Elephas maximus indicus: one gene and its partners. The protein of the gene in region 2 binds, or shares a complex with, the protein of the main gene of each other region. Links are inferred from orthologs where the notes say so. Each region holds a gene or a part of one and is shown on either strand. Other genes may lie near its edges.

The links.
Region 1: NUP93 (region 2) and NUP85 share a complex: the UniProt entries of both Homo sapiens proteins name them as parts of the nuclear pore complex. The link is inferred for Elephas maximus indicus from reciprocal best matches to the Homo sapiens genes NUP93 and NUP85.
Region 3: NUP93 (region 2) and NUP153 share a complex: the UniProt entries of both Homo sapiens proteins name them as parts of the nuclear pore complex. The link is inferred for Elephas maximus indicus from reciprocal best matches to the Homo sapiens genes NUP93 and NUP153.

Annotation. Positions count from the first base shown.
Region 1 is NC_064837.1:65,551,700-65,559,193, reverse strand, and holds the start of NUP85 (nuclear pore complex protein Nup85), read right to left. Parts: upstream 3,046-7,494; 5' UTR 2,908-3,045; coding exon 2,875-2,907; intron 2,866-2,874; exon of another isoform or gene 998-2,865; intron 1-997. UniProt on the Homo sapiens protein: Essential component of the nuclear pore complex (NPC) that seems to be required for NPC assembly and maintenance. As part of the NPC Nup107-160 subcomplex plays a role in RNA export and in tethering NUP96/Nup98 and NUP153 to the nucleus.
Region 2 is NC_064839.1:23,667,310-23,674,771, reverse strand, and holds the start of NUP93 (nuclear pore complex protein Nup93), read right to left. Parts: upstream 3,005-7,462; 5' UTR 2,864-3,004; intron 1-2,863. UniProt on the Homo sapiens protein: Plays a role in the nuclear pore complex (NPC) assembly and/or maintenance. May anchor nucleoporins, but not NUP153 and TPR, to the NPC. During renal development, regulates podocyte migration and proliferation through SMAD4 signaling.
Region 3 is NC_064819.1:63,114,039-63,121,236, forward strand, and holds the start of NUP153 (nuclear pore complex protein Nup153), read right to left. Parts: upstream 3,046-7,198; 5' UTR 2,515-3,045; coding exon 2,398-2,514; intron 1-2,397. UniProt on the Homo sapiens protein: Component of the nuclear pore complex (NPC), a complex required for the trafficking across the nuclear envelope. Functions as a scaffolding element in the nuclear phase of the NPC essential for normal nucleocytoplasmic transport of proteins and mRNAs.

The sequences.
Region 1 (7,494 bases), on a different chromosome or scaffold from region 2:
TGAATTAATTATTATACTGGGATTCAGTGATCTGTAGTTCAGAAAAGGGAAGTTAAAAAAAGAATCGAACCCTGTTTGCTGCACACTGAAAAAAATAAAGACATCCAATCCCAAGGCTTCTGTGCCACCTCTACGATGTTGGCTCTGCATTTCCTCTTTGACTCAGGCCAATTCCCAAGGGCCTCAGTTTCATCCATCCAACTCCTAATCCCTACCACTATAGGCTGCCTAAGCGGCATCTCACACTTAAAAAGGCCACAGCGTGCCGGAAGACACAAAAAAGTACATGTTGGAGTTCAAGAACAGGCAAACTAATCTATGGTGACAAGAGTCAGAAAGTGGTCAGGGTAGAAACTGACTTAGGCAAAGGGTGTGAGGGAATTTTCCAAGTGTCTTGGCTTCAATGGGTCCTCAAAACACCTCAAAATATATGCATACAGGCATTTTCCTGGGGAAGGTGACTATAACTTGTATTTCTTAAGGAGTGCTTGATCAAAAAAAAAAAAAAGGGATTGAAGACCTTTGGTCTAGATGAATCACTCACAATTATTCTACTACTGGGACCCTGGTAGCACAGTGGTTAAGACCTCAGGCTGCTAACCAAAAAAGGTCAACAATTCGAAACCCTATGGGTCTCTATGAGTCAGAATTGACTCAATGGCAATGGGTTTGGTTTGTTCTACTACCTTGAATTTATGCTTAAATATCCTTGAACCTACTAATTACTAATATGCCTTCAAGTACCTTGATAACAGAAAGCAGTTGTCTTAACAGCAGACACAATTCTGAGAAGGGGTGAATTCATAAAATGGTGTTCAGGATAATACATCAGCCTCTCGAAAGTCTGATTAGAATAAACCCAAAGAGCAGATTAACTCTGAAGCACAGACAAAAGTCTAAACTTGCAGAGTTGAGGCTCAGACTCTGGATTATGGAGTTCTACCAAGGATTGTGACTGTCTACGAGGCTCAGCCCACAAAGCTAACCAATTTCCTACCTGGTCTCCACATCAGTGCAGAGCTGGGTTATCACAGGCCAATCATCACCAAACCAAAGCCAATAGCTGCCAAGTTGATTCCAATCCATGGCAACCCTATGTGCAGAGAACTGTGCCCTGTAAGGCGTTAGTGGCTGATTTTTTGGAAGTGGATCACCAGGCCTTTCCTCTGAGGACTCTCTGGGCAGACCTTCAACCTTTTGGTTAGCAGCCTGCCTGTAAACTGTTTTCACCACTCAGGGACTAATTATCACCACCGGAGGGAAAATTAGCTTAGAGCACCTTCATCCCCTTTGTAAACACATGGCTCAATATCAGAGTAATGGAGGTGGGGACAGCAAGATGACGTGAAGTTTGAAGAAGTCCCAGGGATTCTGACATTCTAAGTTTTCTTCCTGAATACACCACTGACAAACAATGACATAGTACTTGATGGATATTTAATATTTAGGGTACTTTACATGTACTTAATAATTAACACTCTATAGAACTAATAAACTTCGTAGAAAATAACTCATTTCAGCTGCTATTTAAGATCTCATATCCCATTTCTACCTCATTAGCTTTGAAATAATCCCCATTTTCAGTATTTGGTTTTATCATAGACTGCTTTGCAATCAGGTAGTTTTAGGTGAAAACTGTACGCATTTTAACCTTCTAAAAAGCAAAAAACACTCGGTCAGGTAACTTACAAAGTTAGTGGTGTATAGACGTTGACAAGGTAGGTCCCTGGGTAGCACTTTCACTACTAGCCTAAAGGTTGGCAGTTCAAACCCACCCGCAGCTCTGTGGAAGAAAGGCCTGGCAATCTGCTTCCGTAAAATTACGTCCAAGAAAACTCTATAGGGCTCAGTTCTACTCTGTAACACCTAGGGTCGCCATGAGTGAGAATCAACTCCACGGCGACGGGTTTGGTTTTTGGTTTTATTAGAGGCTGCTAAGACCCAAGAGGTGCAGAACTCTGAAAGCCTAGGGCATAAAGACAAACTGACTCGTCAGGGGGTCAGGAAAAGCTTTTCTGAGAGGCTGACGGAGCTTAGATTTGAAAAATGAGCGGCAGATAAAGCAAAGAGGGAAGAAAAAAACATTCCGGGCAGCGGAAGGAAATATCTAAAGGTATCTAGTATCCAAAGCCCATGTATCTCTTCATAAAATCACAGATCGTTTATACTTGACATATCCTCCTGAGAGTGCAGACTGAATTGAACGCAAACAGAGCAGTGAAAACAGGAGTGATCCCAAGAGAATAAATACGTTTAATAAACCTGGCGACTAAAACCCACTGCCATCGATTGGATTCCGACTCGTAGCGACCCTATAGGACAGAGAAACACTCCATAGGGTTTTCAAAGCTGTAAATCTTTACGAGAGCCGATTGCTACATCTTCCTCCCGCGGAGTGGCTGGTGGGTTCGAAGTGCCGACCTTTTGGCTTGCAGCCGAGAGCTTTAACCACTGCGCCACCAAGGACCCTTACTGCACGACTAGCAGACGCCAATCTCAGGGCGCTGAGATGTGGAGCAGCTTAATTCGGTTGGAAAAAAAAAGCCCCACCCACGCTGGGTCCGGACTCGCTCTAACACCCAGGAGGAAAAGCGGAGCAAAGTAGGAAGGTTGGGAAGACAAGGGCGGAAGAGGGATGGAATGGGGCCTCCGGGGACAGGTTTCTGAGGGAACAAAGAAGCAGAAACCCAGCGACCACTGCGACCCGAACACGGGCACCTAGTTCAAGCCGCGATCTCTCGACGGCGGCAACTGAGCCGAGGAAAGGGATACGGGCGCCTCCCGAGCCGCAAGGCGGTGGACAAGCCTGCAGCGACGGAGCAGACGCAGCCCTCGGATCGTGAGGGCAAGCAAGCCTGTTCCGGGCGCCCTTACAGTGATTATCGGCTCTCCATCGACCTCCTCCATCGCGCCGCGTCTCAGCACCCTGGAACTGGACAAGCCGCCAATGCTTCCAGCTCCGGCCTCCCGCTCGGAACCCGGCTGAGAGAGAGGACCCCGTCAGGGCGCCTCCAGCAGTGCCGGTCAGGCTCAGCTCCCCGACGTTGCAGGAGCCTCTCCTCTCAGCCATAACCACCCCTGCGGCTGTCTAACGTATTCCCTCCTTCCTGGCCTCGACAGCAGTTAAGGGGAAAAGCGCCAGGTGCAGCCTATCCTCCTAGTAACCCTGCCGCCGGGTCAGGCGCCGCCACGGACAGCCCGCGCCGGGCAGGAAGAAGGCCCCCGAGGGGGCGGGAGCAACAGGAGGGCCGCCCGGCGGAGGTGGTGGGGCCGTGCGTGCGTGAAGCAGCGCGGCTGCCTGGGCGCTGGAACCCGGCCTCTGTGCCGTGCCTACGACCTCTCCCAGCTGGCTTTTGTCTCTCTCTCCCGGTCTCCACATTAGCATCATCGCTTCTCCCATTGGTGTCCAGAGTAATGGGGCCCCTTCCCCTAGTCCCGCCGCTCTGGCGGGCTTGTGTGCCAAGGCAGTGGCCCCCACTCCCACGCTACAGCACACTAGAAGCACGCGGACAAATTGGTGCAACTGTGAAGTGAGACAGCTGGGGTGGCTTAACACAAATACTGGGTTTGTTATCTCTCCAAGGAAAAGCAGAGCAAAATGAATGCACAGCGGAGACACGCAAATCAGAGACTGCGTGGCCTTGTTACGGAAAACTGAAAAGTGTTAAGTAACTTCAAGGTGTGAAGTTATTTATTTTTACTGCCATATAACACATCAAGTAAGAGAATAGTGTTGTTGTTAGGTGCCGTCGACCCTATGTACAACAGAACGAAACACTGTCCGGTCCTGCGCCATCTGTTCTCAATTTCCTATGCAAGCAACTTTTTGAACGAACTGAAGATAATTCGAAATTTAAAAGTAAGTCTTAAAAAATACACTCCCTGAAAATGTAACAGCTTTTTTTTATTTAGGAGGGAAGTTGATCTGAAAATAAATCTATCAATGGGATCAGTGCTTCTTTCCCTGAAAACTATTGGAATCATCTACATGAATTAGTGACAATAAGCTGTTCTGGAATGGTGAGAAGTGTTAGTTTTCTCCTGTGGGCTAGTACAATTAAATCCAAGTCCCATTCACAAAAGTCAGCCACTTGTAGAATGAAATTTGGCAGTTCGGATAAAACTCAACAATTCCCCCATCCACGTCTCGCTGCATTTTGCAGATGTACCACAGCTTCACTGATCTGAGTGCCTAATACCAACGGTGTGGCCCATTTTCTAAGGGATAAAAAGAGGCTTACATTTTCCAAAAGTAAAATAAGCGTTCAGTAGCAGATAAATGGAAGTTTTTGAAACTGGTTACCATATCTGCTTTGGCTATTCAAAATAGCCACTTTACACAACCATTCAAGTACACTCATTAGTTAAAAGAAAACTGCAGTCAATAGAGCTATTGTTGTTGGTTGCTCTTTAATCAGCTGCACCTCATGGAGACCTTATGTGACAGAATGAAACATTGCCTGGGCCTGCACCATCTCCGTGATGTCTGTTTGACTGTTCCTGTGGCTAGTGGGTCAATCCATCTCACTGAGGGTTTCTCTAGTTGTTGCTGACCCTCTCCTTTACCAAACATGATGCTTTTTTTCTAGCAATTAGTCCTGCCTTCATTGTAGGATGTTTAGCAGCATCCCTAGCCTCAACCTACTAGATACCAGTAGCACTCCTCACCAATTGTGACAACTAAAACTGTCTCCAGACAGTCCCAAATGTCCTCTAGGGGGCAAAATAGTACCTGTTGAGAACCACTGGTGTGGTTCAACCAAAGAGGAATAGAGGAACAGCTAAGTAAACAGTATCAGATGAAATATTAACCTATTTAAAAGAACTGTAAAGACTGGACGAGACACAGAAAAGTCAAGAAGCTTTAAAATGTTCATCATTTTGTCCCCATAATTCTACTTCCAGGGAAAAATCAAGAAGGACAGTTTCAATAATCACACTAAAAAAGGGGCATAACCCGCATGTCTCACTCTTAGCTAAGGCTTATGATGGAATATTATGCAGTCATTAAAAGGCAGTTTTATGCATAAGACCAAACCGGTCTCATTGCCTCTCAGCTTGGACAGGGTGTGACTGTTCAGGAAAAGGAGGACTGGGTTTTAACCATTGCACAACCAACCGGCTCTTGCAAAAGCGGGATCATCTCTACCTGGTAGTGCCTGGGCATCCTGGAACTCACAGGAAGAAAGCCCAACATTGTGCTGGGCTCTGTTTTATTTAGTACACTTGTTATTTTCAGTTTACTTTCTTGTTTTGTGATATACTTTGTTACTCTTTGTGACTTTTTTGCATGTTTCCCTTTTTAAATACGCCTGTATTTTCTGTATTAAAAAATAAATAGATGCTCCACCTTCAAAAAAATAATTTTATATGAATATTCAGTGATGTAGGAAATGCTAACAATATAGTGATAAAATGTAAAATTCTATGAAGATGACATTTGGTAAAATTTTCTTAAAAAATTCTCAATTTTATGAAAAATGAAAGGTTGCTATGAGTTGCAATCGACTCAATGGCAACGAGTTTGGGGTTTTTTTTAACAGATATTTAAGTAGAAAACAGGATTGGCAGGAATTATTATTATTACTCTTGTAATCAGGAAAAAAAAGCTGTCTTTAGCATATTTACCAAATAATTTTATAAGGCTATAGGTGAACCAAAATTTGTATATTTCTACAGTTACGTCAATGAGTATGCATATAGGTAAAGATTGAAAATTAAAATTGAGAAGTAGTATTGTTTTATAGGGTCGCTATGAGTCGGAATCGACTCGATGGCAGTAGGTTTTAGTTATTGTATTAAAGTTATGGGAATATGTATGGATTTTAAGTTTTTAATATTTTAAAAGACATATAAATATATTACATATATAATCTAAAAAAACCAAACCCAGTGCCGTCGAGTCGATTCCGACTTATAGCGACCCTACAGGACAGAGTAGAACTGCCCCACAGAGTTTCCAAGGAGCGCCTGGCGGATTCGAACTGCCGATCCTTTGGTTAGGATCCTTTGGTTAGCAGCTGTAGCACTTAACCACTATGCCACCAGGGTTTCCACATATATATATCAATAAATATACGTATGTAAGTTATTAAAAAAATTCCACTTGTGTGTTGTGTGTCTATTTATGAAAACTGCTTGATAGCCTAGATCTAGCCACAAAAGACTTAAAATTGAGAAGTAAAAATTCTAAATGTGACAAGTTTATATTAGTGTAGTAAAAGCTGCTCTAGGCTCATAGTTCTGAAACTTCAGTGGACTTCAGAACTACTTAGAGGTCTTATTAACTACCTCTTCTTGCACCCTATCCCCAGAGCTCCTGACTCAGTAGGTCTGGGGTGAGGCCAGATACTTGCATGTCTAACGTGAAGCTGATGCTGTTACCCAGAGCACCAGCCTTTGAGAACCATCCTTCCAACTCTACCTTCCTTATCTCCAGGTAAGAGTAGTTAAAAATGAGAATTGGAGAGTAAAGATAGTATCTATATTGGGCATAACTCTGTGGTCTGTAGCTTTAATTTCTTTCTGTGCATTTTATGAAGCTAGCCAACAGCTTCAAGTTGCTGGGCCTCATTGCTAGTGCCCTGTTTGAATCCAGTGATGAACAGAGGAGTAAGACAGAAGCATTAATGGATTTAGAAAAACTTGATTGTCCTACCATTGTACAGGCTGCATAACTGACAGGTACTCAGGACGTCTTATTTAGGCATGCTAAGGATTTTTGTCATTCTCATGAAAGGTGCCATAAATGCCCTGAGATAGCCTTTAAAACTTAAACCAGAAGTATCCCCTGAAGTCTTCTCAAAACCAAACAATAGTTTAGCTTAACTAGTAAAAAGGTCTGCCTTAAGCATTATGCACTTTTAAGGATTAGCTATATGGGATGAAAGGAACCCTTTAGTGGCACGGTGTTTAAGAGCTCAGCTGCTAACTGAGAGGTCTGTAGTTTGAAACCACCAGCCATTCCTTGGAAACCCTGTGGGGCAGTTCTACTCTGTCCTTTGAGTCTCTCTAAGTCAAGTCAGAATCCACTCAGTGGCAAAGGGTTTGGGTTTTTACATGGAATGAAAGTGACAACAGCAACTCTAATGATTGAAAGATTACATAGGAACCTTAGGGGGCAGTGAATTTATGTTAACGGGCGGGGGGGAGAACAACTCAGAAAAGGAGGTGAGAATAGTTGCACAACTCAAAGAATGTAAACAATGTCACTAAACGGTATAAGTGGAAACTGTTGAATTGGTGTTACATTCTGCTGTGTATATTCTCAACAAAAACAAAATTAAAAGTACCATGAAAAGTTACTACTGGATCAATAAGTCAGTGAACATTTATTGACCACCGACATTCAGGACTTTGTTATTTGCTGAGAATACAAAAACGAAAAGTGATGATACCTGACCTCAAAAAGCAAATAGGACCAGTCTCTACATTATGCTTGCACAATATGTATATCAATATTCAGTGAATATGTAGTAGTGTTAAACGGGCAAT
Region 2 (7,462 bases):
AAAGCCAACCCTTATCTCTTTCGCCCCTACACTGATCCTCTCGCTCTTCTCCTGGATCACCTCAACAGTCTAGGTCTTCTCGTTCCTCCAATTCATCCTCCCCATGGCCAGAGAGAGTTTTCTGAAATACTCCCCAGGAAATACCTTCCATCCACTACAGGAGGAAGTACTCACCCTCTGCCATAGCTATTCAGGGTGCCCTCCATAGAACAGACACTGCCACCCTTATCATATTCACCTATTATTGCCCTCCCCCAACTCTACACTCCAGGAACTCTCTATTTCTTGGAGTTCCTCATGCTGTTTCCTCTGTCCCCATGCCAGGTGCACACTCACAGTGCCATCCCCACCCTGTCCACATAAGGAGGCTATGTGTCCTGTAAAGCCAGCTGGGGCAGCCCCGCTCATCCCAGCCCCCTCCCACACTATTCTGCATTTTCTATCGCTGCTCCTCCCTAGTGAAGTAGTTGTGATTACTTCTGTCTCCCTCACTGGGTGGCGAATTCCTGTAGGGTAAGGTCCATGGACTGCTCAACTCTAAATCCTCAGCAGTTGATAAGCTTGGCAACTAACAGGCACCAAATAAATGTCTGCAGAATTAAAAGTGACCTGTTTCCTGAACACACCCTGCCCCCCCACCCCCAGCACATCTCTCTTTCCCTCTACCTTATTTTCTGCCTCAGCCTATCAGGACGCAGATTCAGATATTCAAGTTCTTCACATCCCCAACTTGTTCCCACCTCAGGGTCTTTGATTTTGCTGTTCCCCCTGCCAGGAATGCTCTTGCCCTAGATATTCCTATGACTTGCACTCTCATTTCAGGCAGGTCCCTATTCAAATAATCTGTCCTCATTTATAAAATGCCCGACACCACATTCTATATTTGTGTTTTTTTTGTCAGTGGCCTCTCTAGGACCATCCGCTCAATGACAGCAGGTCTGTCTCATTCACCACTGTATCCCCAAGCCTATAACAGTGCCAAGCACAGTCATTTCTTCCATATTTACTAAGCATCTACTGTGTGCCAGGCCTAGGTGCTTGGGATATGTAAGGGAAAAAAACAGATAAAAATCCCTTCCCTCCAGGAGCTCACATTCTAGAGGGGGAAGACAAACAATACACACAATAAATATGTAAAATATAACTCCTAAGAAGAAAAACTAAAGCAGTTAAGGAAGACAGGAAGTGGGAAAAGCCTCATTAGGCGACCCTTCAGTAAAGTTCTAAAAGAAGTAAGTGAGCAAGTCACATGAATATTGAACTGCAAGTGCAAAGGCCCTGAGGCTAAAGCATGTCTGACTCCTGTAAGGGAAGGGTTGGGGAGGGTAGAAGAAAACGAGATCAGAAAACTGTCAGTGGGTCAGGCTGTGTAAAGCTTTAGGGCTCACAGTAAGGAGTCTGTGTTTTATTATTAATGAAATGGGGACCTATTCAAGGGTTTTTTGAGTAGAGAAGTGATATGATCTGGCCTGCTTTACAAGGATCCCTCTTGCCGCTGTGCTGAAAATGGAGGCCAGGGTAGAAGCAGGGAGACCAGTTGGGAGGCTATTCCAATAATCCAGGTGACAGGTGGCAGTGACTTAGCCCAGGATGGCAGGCATTGGACATAGAGTGAGACAGAAGAGCAATCAAAGATGACTCTAAGGGTATTGGCCAGAGCAGCTAAAGGATGCACTTGGCTTTTATTTCACTGAGATAAAAAGAGCAAGAGGAGCAATCTGGAGAGGGAGATGGAGGGGAGCTTTCGAGCGCCATTTTGGCAGATTCAGTTTGAGCTCCCCATCATCCATTTCAGTAGACATCAAGCAGGCAGCTAGATAAAGGCCTGGGAGAGGCCCAGGCTGGAGGTATAAATCCGAGCTGTTAGCTTAATATATAGGTATTTAAAGGTATAAGTCTGGATGAGTTCACCATGAGTGAAAGATGAAAGCATCACAAACACAAAAGCACAAAGAAGAATGGTGGAAAGAAACAAAGAAGAAAAGCTACAAGCCTGAAAAACCTCTCCCCCCAAATCTGGTCTGCGGTCAGTATTAGAAGACAGAATACAAAAGGTGACCCTTGCTTGTGCGGAAAGACCTTGGCCAAAACAAACAAAAAACAAAACCTCCTTCCTACACCTGGCTGAAGGGCAAATCCGAACCAATCGGCTCTGTCAAGGTATCCTTCAAACTTTGACTAAAGACCCCTGGCGTCGGCCCCATAATTTTTTAAAAGGAATCCAGTAAAACTCAGGCATCGCCTCTGCAGAAGATGGGATGCTGTAAGCCCAGAAAAAGGATGGATCACCCCCGAATTCCAATCATAAGCAATTCCCCGAATGGGGAGAAACATCCCCCTGAACGTCTGTTCAGAAGGAAGGGCAAGGGATGGGAGAGGCTTACAGGGTGGTCTCCCCCCTACCCAAAGGCTCCTTCCTTCAGAAGGCAATGCTTCCCAAGAGGGTGTATCCCCGGGGAGCCAGCGAGCCGGCAGGGCTCGGTCAGTGGAGGAATCAGGAAGGATGTTGCAGTGGGAAGGGGGCGCCGATCCAGCCAAGGGTGGGCCCGTAGGGCAAGGGGTGGGGGCGTGGTGCGCCGCGGCGACTGCTATAACGGGGGAGAGGGAGATCAGGAGGCTAAGGCTCTGTACTCAAGAAGAGGGCAAATAAAAGGCATTCCAGGGGCGCAACCCTACGCTATAATGGGGGGCGGTTCGACAGGGCGTTATGTCACCAGCGTCAGGCGTGCCTGGCTGCCACGAGGAGAACGGGAAGTGTGAACGGCACAGCTCCGAGCGTGGGGACGGAGCTCCGCCCAGGCGCAAAATCCGGGGTTCAAGGACAAGCCCCAGGTCGGAAGGACGTGCACAGAAGCGACCTTACCTGGCGCCGTAGCCGTCTCCCCCGCTCAGGTCCGGGTTTGAGAGCGCGGCCGCCGCTTCTCGCGCCGCTCACCTGCGCTTCCTGATTGGCCGAGGCTGGACGCTCCCAGAAACCCCTGCGAGGCGCGCCACCGAAGGAACTTTATGGAGACCCGCGGAGAAGGACAGGAACATGGGTGGGGCCGGGGGCGGGGATGGGGCGGGGCCTTGGGCGGGGTCTGAGGCTGCGCTGTCACTCCCGACACACCCGCGGCCACCGCCCTTACCCTCCCACGTGGTTAGAATCCGCTCTGCTGGGAGAACGCGATTCCACAATTGGCCTGCGCGGATTTCTCGCCCCTTATTAAGCGCCATCCAAGTACCAGGGACTATTCTAGGCGCTGGAGACACAGCGACGACCACGACAGACAAAACCCCTGCCCTAGTGGAGCTCTCAGGCTGGTGAGGGAAACATAATATAAGTAAATAAATAATAAATGACTGAACATTGTCAGAAGGACTATGAAGAAAGAAGAGCGACCGGAGAGAGTGCCTGGATGGCCAAGGAAGGCCTCTCTGAGGAGGTGACATTTGAGGCGAAGCATGAATGATGACAAAGGGTCAGCCTTGCACAGTCTTGGCTGCAGCATTTCAAGCAGAGGGACAAGAGTGAAGGCTCGGAGGGGGAACAAGCTTGGCGTTTGAGGAATAGAAAGGGGTGTATGGCTGGAAAACGGTGACTGAAGGCAGATGGGGTAAGACTCACAGTAGGCTGGGCCAGACTTGCAGGTCCTTTCCACCATGGCAAAAAAAGTTCAATTTCTTCTTCATGCAATGGGAAGTCTAAGTCTTTTCGTTGCTCCAACCCATCCGTCCCGTGGCTGGAGAGGCCTTTCTGAAATTCTCCTCTGCTTTGAGCCTTTTTTTTTTGAGCCCATCAGGCAGAGGGTCAGCTCAGATGTCACCGTCCAGCCACAACAGGAGGAAGTACTCATCCTTTGACATAGCTATACAGGTGCTCTCTATAGAATGGGCACAGCCACACTTATTCTCATCTGTTATTGCCCTTTAACCAACTCTATTACATTTTTTCATGAAGTGTAATTTACAATAAAATGCACCTGTTTTAAGAGCACACTTAGATTCATTTGAACAAATGTGTCTTTGTAGCCATTGCGCCAAGATATAAAACATTTTCATCATCCTAAAAAATTTCCTCAGATCCCTTTGCAGTCAATCTCATTTCCAACCCCCCCCCCAAAAAAAACCTGGGAAACCACTGATTTGCTTTCTATCATTAGTTTTGCCTGTTCTAGAATTTCATGTAAATAGAATCATACCATATCTTTTGTGTCTGGCTTCTTTAGCTCAGTTGATACCTGTATCACTAATTCCTTTTTATTACCAAGTAGTATTCATTGTATAGATACACCGTGTATTATTTATCCATTCATCTATGAGTCGGAATCTACTCGATGGCAATGGGTTTGGTTATTTTGTTTTTATTGATAGATGTCTGAGTTATTTCCAGTTTATGGCTATTATGAATAAGCTTCTATGAACATTTTTGTACAAGTTTTTGTACGAATGTATATTTCCATGTCTCTTAGATAAGTATCTAGCAGTGGAATTTCTGGGTCATATGGTGCCCTGATTAAGCGTTCAGCTGCTAACCAAAAGTTTGGCAGTTCAAATCCACCAGCTGCTCCTTGGAAACCCTATGTGGCAGCTCTGCTCTGTTCTATAGGGTCACTATGAGTTGGAATTGACTTGACGGCAACAGGTTTGGTTATTTTGATGTTTGTGGTAAATATGTGTTTAACTTTATTAAAAACTGTCAAATTATTTTCTAAAGTGGTTGCACCAGTTTGCATTCCCACCAGCAAGGTGAGCTCCAGTTGCTCTACATCTTCGCTAACACTTGATATTGTTAGTTTGTTTTGGAGTTTTTATTTTTGAGCCATCCTAATAGGTGTGTAGGGTATCTCAGTGCAGTTTAAATTTTTTATTTCCCTGAAAACTAATGATGGTGAGAAAATGGCTACATTTTAAAATTGACAACACCAGTCACGGAGGCGGCACGTGGAGCAACAGAAACCATCAGGTACTGCTGAGGGCTTGTCAGTGGGTACACCCACCTTGGAAAATGGCTCCATCTATTAAAGCTAAATATATATGCTCTGTTGTTTTGGGGTGCCACTGAGTCAATTTTCTACTCGTAGTGACCCATAGGGTTTTCTAGGCTGTAATCTTTACAGAAGCAGATCTCCGAGTCTTTCTCCCATGGAGCCTCACAATGGGTTGAAACCGCTGCAGCTTACAGTTTGCACCCAAGCACTTAACCATTGTACCACCAGGGCTCCTTTACATGTACATACTCTACAAAACAACAATTCTATGTACATATCTGTCTATCTCCAGCATAAATGTGTGCATATTCTCACCGGAAGTCATGTATAACAACATTCATGGCACCATAATTTGTACTAGGCTGAAAGTACAACCTAAATGTCCCTTAACAGAAGAGCGGACATGCAAATTATGCTGTGGTCATGTAACAAATGCAGTAAGAAAAAGAATGAACTACATCCACAAAAAGCAACTTAAAGGAACCTCACGGACATACTGGTAAGCAAAAGTAAAAAAAAAAAAAAAAACCAGTGCCGTGGAGTCGATTCCAACTCATAGCAAAAGTAGCCAGACACAAAAGTATAACTCCATTTATATAAAGTTCAAGTCAGGCCAAACTAATCTATGGTGACAGATGTCAGAATAGTGGTTATTTTGAAGGGGGAAGGAAGGAGCTATAGACTGGAAAGAAGAATGAAGGAATCCGAGGTCTGTTAATGTGTTATTTCTTATCTGGAAGCCAAGTGCCAATTTTTTTTAAAATTCACTAAGCTGCACGTTTAAGATTTTGTGCACTTTACTACGTATATATTATTCATTATATTACAATAAAAAGTTAAAAATAATGTAAAACGTCCCCTTTACTGTGGAATATTACATTTTTTACTACTCAAAATTCACATCACTGTCCCTCCCCCTACTGTCTGTAGTTTTGAACCTCATTGAACTACTGTGGTAGTCCCCCACAATACCCAGCACGTGTCACAGGGAAGGAAAGCAAGAAATATTTCTTTTAAGTAACAGAATCAAGCTCCACTGATTGCCTCCCTATCTTGACTGCGCTGCCAGAGGTGAAGTTCTTAGTGGGTGGCAACAAATTACCTAAAGCTTTGTGGTCAGTGGCTGAGTGATGAGCAATGTCCTTTAAAAATCATGAGAAGCTTCAAAGGGAAGCTTCTAACTATGCTTTCAGATGGGTTTAATTTCAGCTGCACAAAAGGCGACTTGACATTATCAGAAATGGCAAATAAGCTTTCTCTTGAACACTAAACCAGTCGCCGTCGAGTTGACTCCAATTCGTGGTGACCCCATGTGTTGCAGATAGGACTGATCCATAGGGTTTTCTGGGCTGTAATCTTGACAGAAGCAGATATCCAGGACTTTCTTTTGCAGCACCACTGAGTGAGTTCAAATCACCAACCTTTCGGTTAGTAGTTGAGCGCAAAGCGTCTGGCTATTCAGGGACCTAGTTCAAGAGCAGGCATAGCTGATCTGTGGTGATAGAGGTGAGGATAATTGTTCCTCAGGAGTAGGTATGACTGGGAAAGAGCTCAAGGGAACTGTCTGGGTTGCCAGAAATAGTCTGTATCTTGATCTGGATGGCAACACAGGTGTGTGCATATATATATATATATATATTTTATATGTGAAGTTTTATTTAGCTGTACACTTAAGGTTTGTGCATTTTACTGGGTGAAATTATTTCTCGATAAAAATATTAACAAACTTAAACTTAAAAAGTGATTCATGCCTGTTATTCTGTTTGAGCCTGGCAACAATCTTGGGGTAGGCAGGGCAGGGCTTATTATCATCATTTATCCCATGGGAAACCTAAGATCTAGGGGGGTTCCGTGACTTACCCAAGGTCACACAGGCAAGAAGTAGTGGCAGACCTGAGCCTACACATTCAAGTCTTCTGACATCTGGGACAGTCTCTCTAGCCCAAGAGAGCCTCAGAGGTGAACTTAGAACCAACCCTACATGAATTATAATGAGGAGCTACCCAACGAAGTCCTTAAGGGAATTTTAGTGCCAACTTTCTGAACTGGGACCGGAACGAATCCCACGCCCTCATTAATCAGCAGCAGCCGGCTATCAGATGACATTGTGAAGGTGGTGGGTTTTTTAAACATCTGGTTATTTCATTTGTTATTAAACATACTGTTGAGTAAAAAAAAATCCTACACATCTTTCCATTGCTGCTGTTTAAAAACAGCTTTGCCAACATCTATCAACTTCATTTACGTCAAATTGTGCAATTTGTCACTGAGGCTGAATTTGCCAAACGAGAAAGGAATTTGATTGACAAGGCTCCAGGGCTTCTCTCTCCTCCTTTTCAATATTCCAGATGTTGAAGAAAGTTGGATCCACCCCCAGGAAAGCTCAGATGTGAGTGAAAAATGTACCAATGGAGCTTCAGGGATATGGTTTCAGTTTCTGTAGAAACTTTGCCTCCAAGAGACCCCATCTTCTTGATTGGTTCAAATTACCC
Region 3 (7,198 bases), on a different chromosome or scaffold from region 2:
AGGTGAAAAGAAAAAAATGCTAGCCTTTAAGTATTTCCCAGCAGAGCTAAACCAGAAGTCAAAACAGGAAATTACAAGTCAATTTAACACATGCAAGAGTCTCAGGTACTGTCTGACTACACTAGCTAATTGGCCTGACAAGCAATGGCAAACAGCCATTAACTAACAGTGCCAGGCCTCTCATTCTGGTTCCAACACTCTACTACATAATGAAAAACTTCATTCCTGCTCAGAAACCCTGGGTCACTTAAATAACATTAGTACAAAACATGCCATGTCATGAAGCGCCTCGATATTCATGATGACTCAGCAACTGCTGCAAAACATCCAATTTGACAGCTTAGGGTAGAATACAGCAAGCAGGTAGTTCACAAAAGTTTCAGTAAAGACTAAGGAAAAGCCCTTAATATAAGATTAAAAAACAGATAAACCAGAAAGCACTCTTCTGTATATACCTGAATACTTTTCTTTGGTAGTTCCTGCCAGTATTAAATAAAACATGTAGTGTTGATCAAGAAATCTCAAAACATCTTTAATCCCAATTCAAAAGCTAAAAATACATATATATTTTTTAAATAAATCAAGCAGCTGGGGCAAGAAGCTTAAAGTATTTTAGATAGGGAGCAATGATAATTTACGAAAATTTAAAACTTAAAAACTATACAGCCTGAAATCGTATCAATTCTAGGGCAGTTTAGATCACAGGCATTCTGTTAAGACATTATTTCCTCAAAATTAGATTCTTATCTAAGTAAATTTAAAAATAAACTGTGATTACAACTTTCGCTGCCTGGAATATATTAACTCCCTTCTAAACTCTGTCCAAACTTTTTATTCATCTGTATTGAAAACGTTTTTCTATGTGTAGTAATTTTCTTTTAAGCAAATCGTAGAAAGCACTGAGATATTCTATAGGAGAAACAGAAAGCATGTATGTCTTTCATTCTACAAAAGAGGCTTAAGTTAAATGGTCAAGGCTTGTGACCTGAATTCTAGCATTAAATCTGCCTACAAGTACCTGTTCCTCACAAAGCCATGTGAAAACGAGGCACTTTCTGTACATATCCGTGGAAAAACTAGCAGGAGATAATAGTAATGCCAAGCCTTCTGACTATTAGAGACCTACTTGGTATAATACATAATCCACAATTTTTACTTTCAAAAGTTCTCCTCAAATCTGTACTTAATGATACAATTTAACACCACCAACAAACATGTTAAAGTGTTCATTATTATCATGCAAAATAAAGCAATCTAGGAAGTCTACCTGACTGTATGCAACAAGTTATTACACCCTTTTGCTATACTTTTGTTTCTAACAAGTTTAAGACACACACTTCCCACCTTAGTGTCAATCAGTTTTATAAGTGGCTTTATTAAAATAGGTATTTGGTATTTTCTGCTCTACCATCCGCCAACACACAAATAACATTTAAAAATGGAATTTTCTCAGAAACGAATGTCTCATTTATACTTAGGCTAAACTCCTTATAATTTTTAACACCCAGGAGTGTACACGGTGATTAAATTATAAGACCACAAACATTCCTAGAGCGTCAAAAGTCCTTAAACTTTTAGAACACGCCCCATAATATTAAAATATTTTGTGTATGAGATCAGAAATGGAATCCTGGTCAACTGTGGAGAATGGCCAATTCTAGTTTCCAAAGTAAAAGGAGGAAGAAAAAAAAAAGAGACAGGTGGGGAGGGAAGAGCCGCGCAGCGCAGAAAATACGTAAGGGTGGAGAGGGACTTTCAAAATGCCCCAGTGCCACGGTTAACTATATCCCGGTTAAGAAAAAAAAGTTGAGCGAATGCTCTCAGATTGAGGACGGACAAGGGCGGCGGAGACGGAGAATTAATCAATCGGCTGAGAGTATATTATTCCATTTTCCGTGTAACAGCGCCCCCCAGTCTCCCGTGAGTCCAAGAAGCCGATTCCTCGGAGCAGCCCCCTCCCCACACACTGAACCGCGGGAGACTAGAAAACGCACAGCCCGCGTAATGGGCTCCGGCCGCATCTTTTCCTTTCTCCCTCGAGAGGCTGTGAGTAATACCTCCAAATCCCCAATCCCCGCCAAAAAAAAGAAAGAAACGCGCGCACCGTGGGCCTAGAATTTCTTTTCCCGCCCTGAGCCTGCCGGGGAAGCCCCTGACCCAGAGACTATGCGAGAGGCGGCCCAAGCCACACATGTGCGCCGCACGGCTGGGCCTGTCTCAGCCCACTTCCCGTCGCCACCCCAGCGGCCTGAGCTCCCGCCGCCTCAATCGGGCCTTCCTCCGGCCCTCCCATCCGATCCACGTGCGGCGGGTGTGGGGAGCCAGAGCCCCGCACTGCCTGACCCCTCTCGCCCAGCCCCCGACCCGTTAGGCCACCGCGGCGTCGGGGTTCCGTACCTGGTGCTGTTGTCGCCCCTGCGCGTAAGGCTTAATTGGCCCCTGGTGACAACGCCGCGTCCGGATCTTGCCACCGCCGCCGCCGCCCCCTCCTATTCCTCCGGCTCCCGAGGCCATGGTGGAGCCTCCGCTGCTTCCCGCTCCGCGGCGGGTAAGGGGGGCGGGAGAGGCAGAGGCGACGGCCTTAGAGCCCCCCCCGCCCGGTCCCGGCCCAAAAGTCCGCCCGCGCTACCCACACGGTGGGACACAGGCACACCAGGGACCTCGAGGTTGCGAGCAGGAGGGGAGAGAGGGTGCGCGCTGGCAGAGGGGGAGGGGGTGGCGGCGGCGGAGGCCGAGGAGCTGGCTCCGGTCCGGCAGCCTTCCGCGGTCCCCCGCCTCTGTGTATGTCACGGTCTCTATGGAGATCTTCCGCAGAGGACAGTGCGAGCGGCTCCGGGCGCTGCTGAGGCCTAACTCGACCGCCGGCTGGTAGGGGATCTTCTTCCGTCGCTCTAGCCGTCGCTGCCGCAGCTGAAGCCGCCGGCGCCGCCCGCCTACCCCTCCCCTCTGCGCACAGCGCCCGCCCTGCCGTCGTCGTCCCTGCAGTCGCCGCCGCTGTTGCGCCTATTGCCGCTGCTAAGGCCGCCGCGGTCGCGAGCCAGGACACCGTCACTCGTTAGCGCCCGACGCCTATGCATCATCTCGCTGCGACCTGCGAGGGGAGGAGGAAGGAAGAGCTCTACGAGCCCGCGCTCTCGGCCGCGCGGTGCGCTGGGTAACGTAGTTCAGGAGGAGCACGTGAGTTCTGGCAAAGGAAGGCGCGGGGTGGTGGATCCGCCGAGCGCCGCAGAGGCACTGAGCGGGCGGTTACGTTCGTTTTCCTGCCCTTAGCTTTAGGCTTAGGCTCTGAAGAACCATTTAACATAAAAACAGTAAGCTCCCAACCACTCTACTTCTCCCTATCTAGCAGAAAGTAAGCAGAGGGTGAAATCAGCGACAGGAGCTAAGTGATATCTTTTAACAACAACAAAAACTCTGTGGTTGAAAAAGCAATGTCCAAAATCATTCGTAGGCCGAAAGCACAATTAGAAAATGTATACAGCTTCATTAAGGTCCTATTAGACATATACACAAGGGCTAGAATTCTGGCTCCCCCACTCAAAATCTCTGAACCTTGGCGTCCTCCTCCAGAAAATAACTTTTAAGTTCACCTTATAGAGCTGGTGCCTACAAGAAATGCAATAAATGGTGGCTATTATGATTACCTACGCAGCTCACAATAGAAGTAAAATGTATATTTTCAGTAATACAAGTGTGCATATGTATGTTCCAAATAAAAGGCATCGTGTTCAGGGAGGTAAGTGAGCATAGGCTCAAGATTGAATCCATACGTATGTAGAGATTCTAAGCGCTGACGGTTAGACAGGTCTTGATGATCACGTGGACCGCCCCTCTCAACGGACACCAAAGACTTCCTAGACAATTTGGGTGGTGCGTTCAAGGACACAGAGCTGGGCAGTCAAACCCAGAACTGTAACACAACTTTTGTATAAGAGTCAAGATGAGTAGTCAGATGATTAAAGAGAAAACTCTACTATTGTTCCATTTTGAGACAGTTGATTTTAAAGCTTTTAAGTAGCTTTGGAGTCAAATAGACTTAGTTTCAAATCTATCATTTACTAGCTGTATAGTCCAGAGGAAGCTATTGATCTTCTCTGTAAGCCTCAGTTTCTTTATCTGTAAATAGAATGAATTTTTATTTCAACAGGATGGTGGTTCTGGTGAAAGGGCTTATGTATTTATGTGCTGTATAATACCTAGTTTATAAAAACTACTGTGTAGAAAGCATTTAATATCAGTCAAGCTGTCAGGTACAAATCTTTAGCGCCAAGATTTTTATACAGTCTCCACCACCTAGCTGCTCAATTCAAAAGTCACTATATAAATCACATAAGTGAAATTGTGAAACCAAATTTATAGTACCTTTGAACTTGTAGTATGTTTCAGCACCTAAAAGAACTATGCTGTATAGGCATAGGCTTACAAAGCATATGGTTTTCAGAGGCATCTCTGACCAGAAGCACCAACACTCAAGAAGTTGCCAAATATGAAAAACAAAATTAATTTGTTTCCCTGCCCCAGCCTCGTGCCTTCACCATACCTAACTCCTCACTAGACTTTCTAGGTATACCTGCTCAGCACTTTACCCTTCTTAAGTACAATTGTTTCTCTTGGATGCTTTCCCCTCTTCAACTGAAGCCTGGTTCTTTTGTAAGCCTTAGCTAGGTATTTGACAAGCGGGGTGAAGTAATTCTGGATAAGCTAACTCACATGGAGAACCTCTACCTGAATTTCCTAACTGGGCTACATATATAGGAGATTGAACTGTAGCCACATCCCATTTTTCCTTTTCATCTACCAGACTCAAAATTTCCAGTACAAGACTATGGACTGGCTAGAGCTCAAAAATGATGTCTTTCTTGGAGGCGTGGGTCAGCCCTCACATTCAAGTTTTGAAAGCAAGGGCTGTGCAGAAGAATTGGGCCAAACTTCAGAATCAAAGATTGGTGGGATTTGAGAAGCTGTGGAAAAATACAAATTCCTTTCAGTTGTTTAACTCATTAACTCACAGAATTCATTTAACTCATTTCACATTTACTTTATTCCTTTGATGTAAAACAACATCCAAGGAAACAATAATACACTAGTTCCACATTTGTGTGACTGCATTTTTGGAAGCTTTACCAGGCAGTTTGAGAGCAGAGACAGAATAAAGGACAGGAGGGAAGCTGTGTTCAAAACTTCCCACTGCTCAGTTTTACCCTGACATAGTATCAGCCTCATTATGGGATGAGATGACTTCTTATTGCATGGTTTGGGATGTTAAAATAACATTATTTCTGTGCTGAGATATAGTGTAGAGTTCCAAATCACCATCTCACACATTTTTGGAACTCATTCTTCTGTTAGCAATTACGAGTAGTAGAATGAGTTATAATAAATTATTTTGATTGTAAAGCTTTAAGGAAAATTATAACAAAAGATCTGCCTGCATCCAAACAAACAAATAAATATTGAGCATTGCTCTAAAAGATACTATATATAAATCGGAAAAAAAGGTCAAATGGCATATAACAATAATAGGGGTTCTTGAAATCCTTCCAGCCATGTTGGAAATTAACAAGCGTTTGAGGAAGGAAATAAGTATTATTTAGTGCTTATAATTAAGCACTTTACATAGATAATAGGATTTAATTTCCTCAAAAACCTATGAGATATTACTATTTGTATTTCACAGAATCAGAAGCTACCATTTATAAATTTTGTGTTATGAACTAGCTGTCTCTTTCTTCATCCATTTCTTTCTATTAGTAACTTCTATTCCTGTCAGTCTTTAACCAGTAACCAAACCAACCCATTGCTGTTGAGGCGATTCCGACTCATAGCAACTCTATAGGACAGAGTTGAACTGCCCCATAGGGTTTCCAGGGAGTGGCTGGTGGATTTGAACTGCTGACCTTTTGATTAGCAGCTGTGCTCTTAACCACTACACCACCAGGGCTCCCAACCAGTAACCAACTGCCTTCAAATCAGTCACCACTCCTGGTGACCCCATACGCGTCAGAGTGCACTGGGCTTCATAGGGTTTTCAATGGCTAATTTTTCAGAAGTAGATCACCAGGGCTTTCTTCCCAGGTACCTCTGGGTGGACTCAAAGCCCCTACCTTTTGGTAAGCAGCCAAGTGAATTAACCATTTATACCACCAAGGGACTCCTTATCAGTCTTTAGGCCAAGTCAAAATTGGGATGGCTTTAGTAAGTGATCTTGTGTTTTGGGTTCTTTCATTGAGTAACTTTTAATAGAAACTTGCCCCCCCCACCCCACACACACACACACACACATACACACTAAATTTTAAGCTCCAAAAGGATAAGGAATTTTTTCCCAGTGTTATAACCTCAGCACATGGATCAGTGCTGACACATGGCGGTCTCTATAGATACTACAGTTCATTTTCCCAATATACCATTATTACCAATACAGCTAAACTCATTTATATAACCGGATCTAACCTGACCTGAATGTATTTGCTACATAAGAAATTAATTTTTTGCAATTCATGATAAAGCATGAATACCATGAATAAGTCCCTATGAAAGTGTTATATAAAGATTTTCATGTTATCCTAACAATCCTGAGAAGAATCATTATCCTCATTTTACAGAAAAGGAAACTGAGTCACTGAGGGGATAATAATAAATTGCAGCACTAATGAGTGGCAGAGTCAACGTTTAAAATGATTTCTCCACTCCTTACCCCAAAGCTCATCGCTTACCTTTACCATCATTCTACCACTTTTGTAGCTAGTTTAGGAACCCACCTACCATTTACAATATTTTTTATTTGAGAATATATTATTTCCAATTCAATTAAGAACAAAATGTTTTAGGAAGATCTCTCTCTGATGGCCTCCACACGGACTGGAATGTTTCGAGTCTGGTCCTACTGTATTGCAGAGCAAGAATAGACATTTGCTTAATGTGATGTGATAACCATGGAAAGACCAGACTCAGATAACTCAGTCAGGGTCACCTGAGAAGCAGGAAATCCCATCTTGGCACAAAGATAAGAGGATATTTTGTGGGATGGAAATGAAGAGTACACCACCAGGGCCATTTTGGTGTAAGAAATGTTGTAACCTATGAATGTCAGAGAGAAGCCATGTTAACAAAACCAATAAAATTCAACTATAGCATAGAGACAAAAAGAATTCTGTGAAGGATAAGGAGAAAACTAATAGCTATTCATTTTTAGACC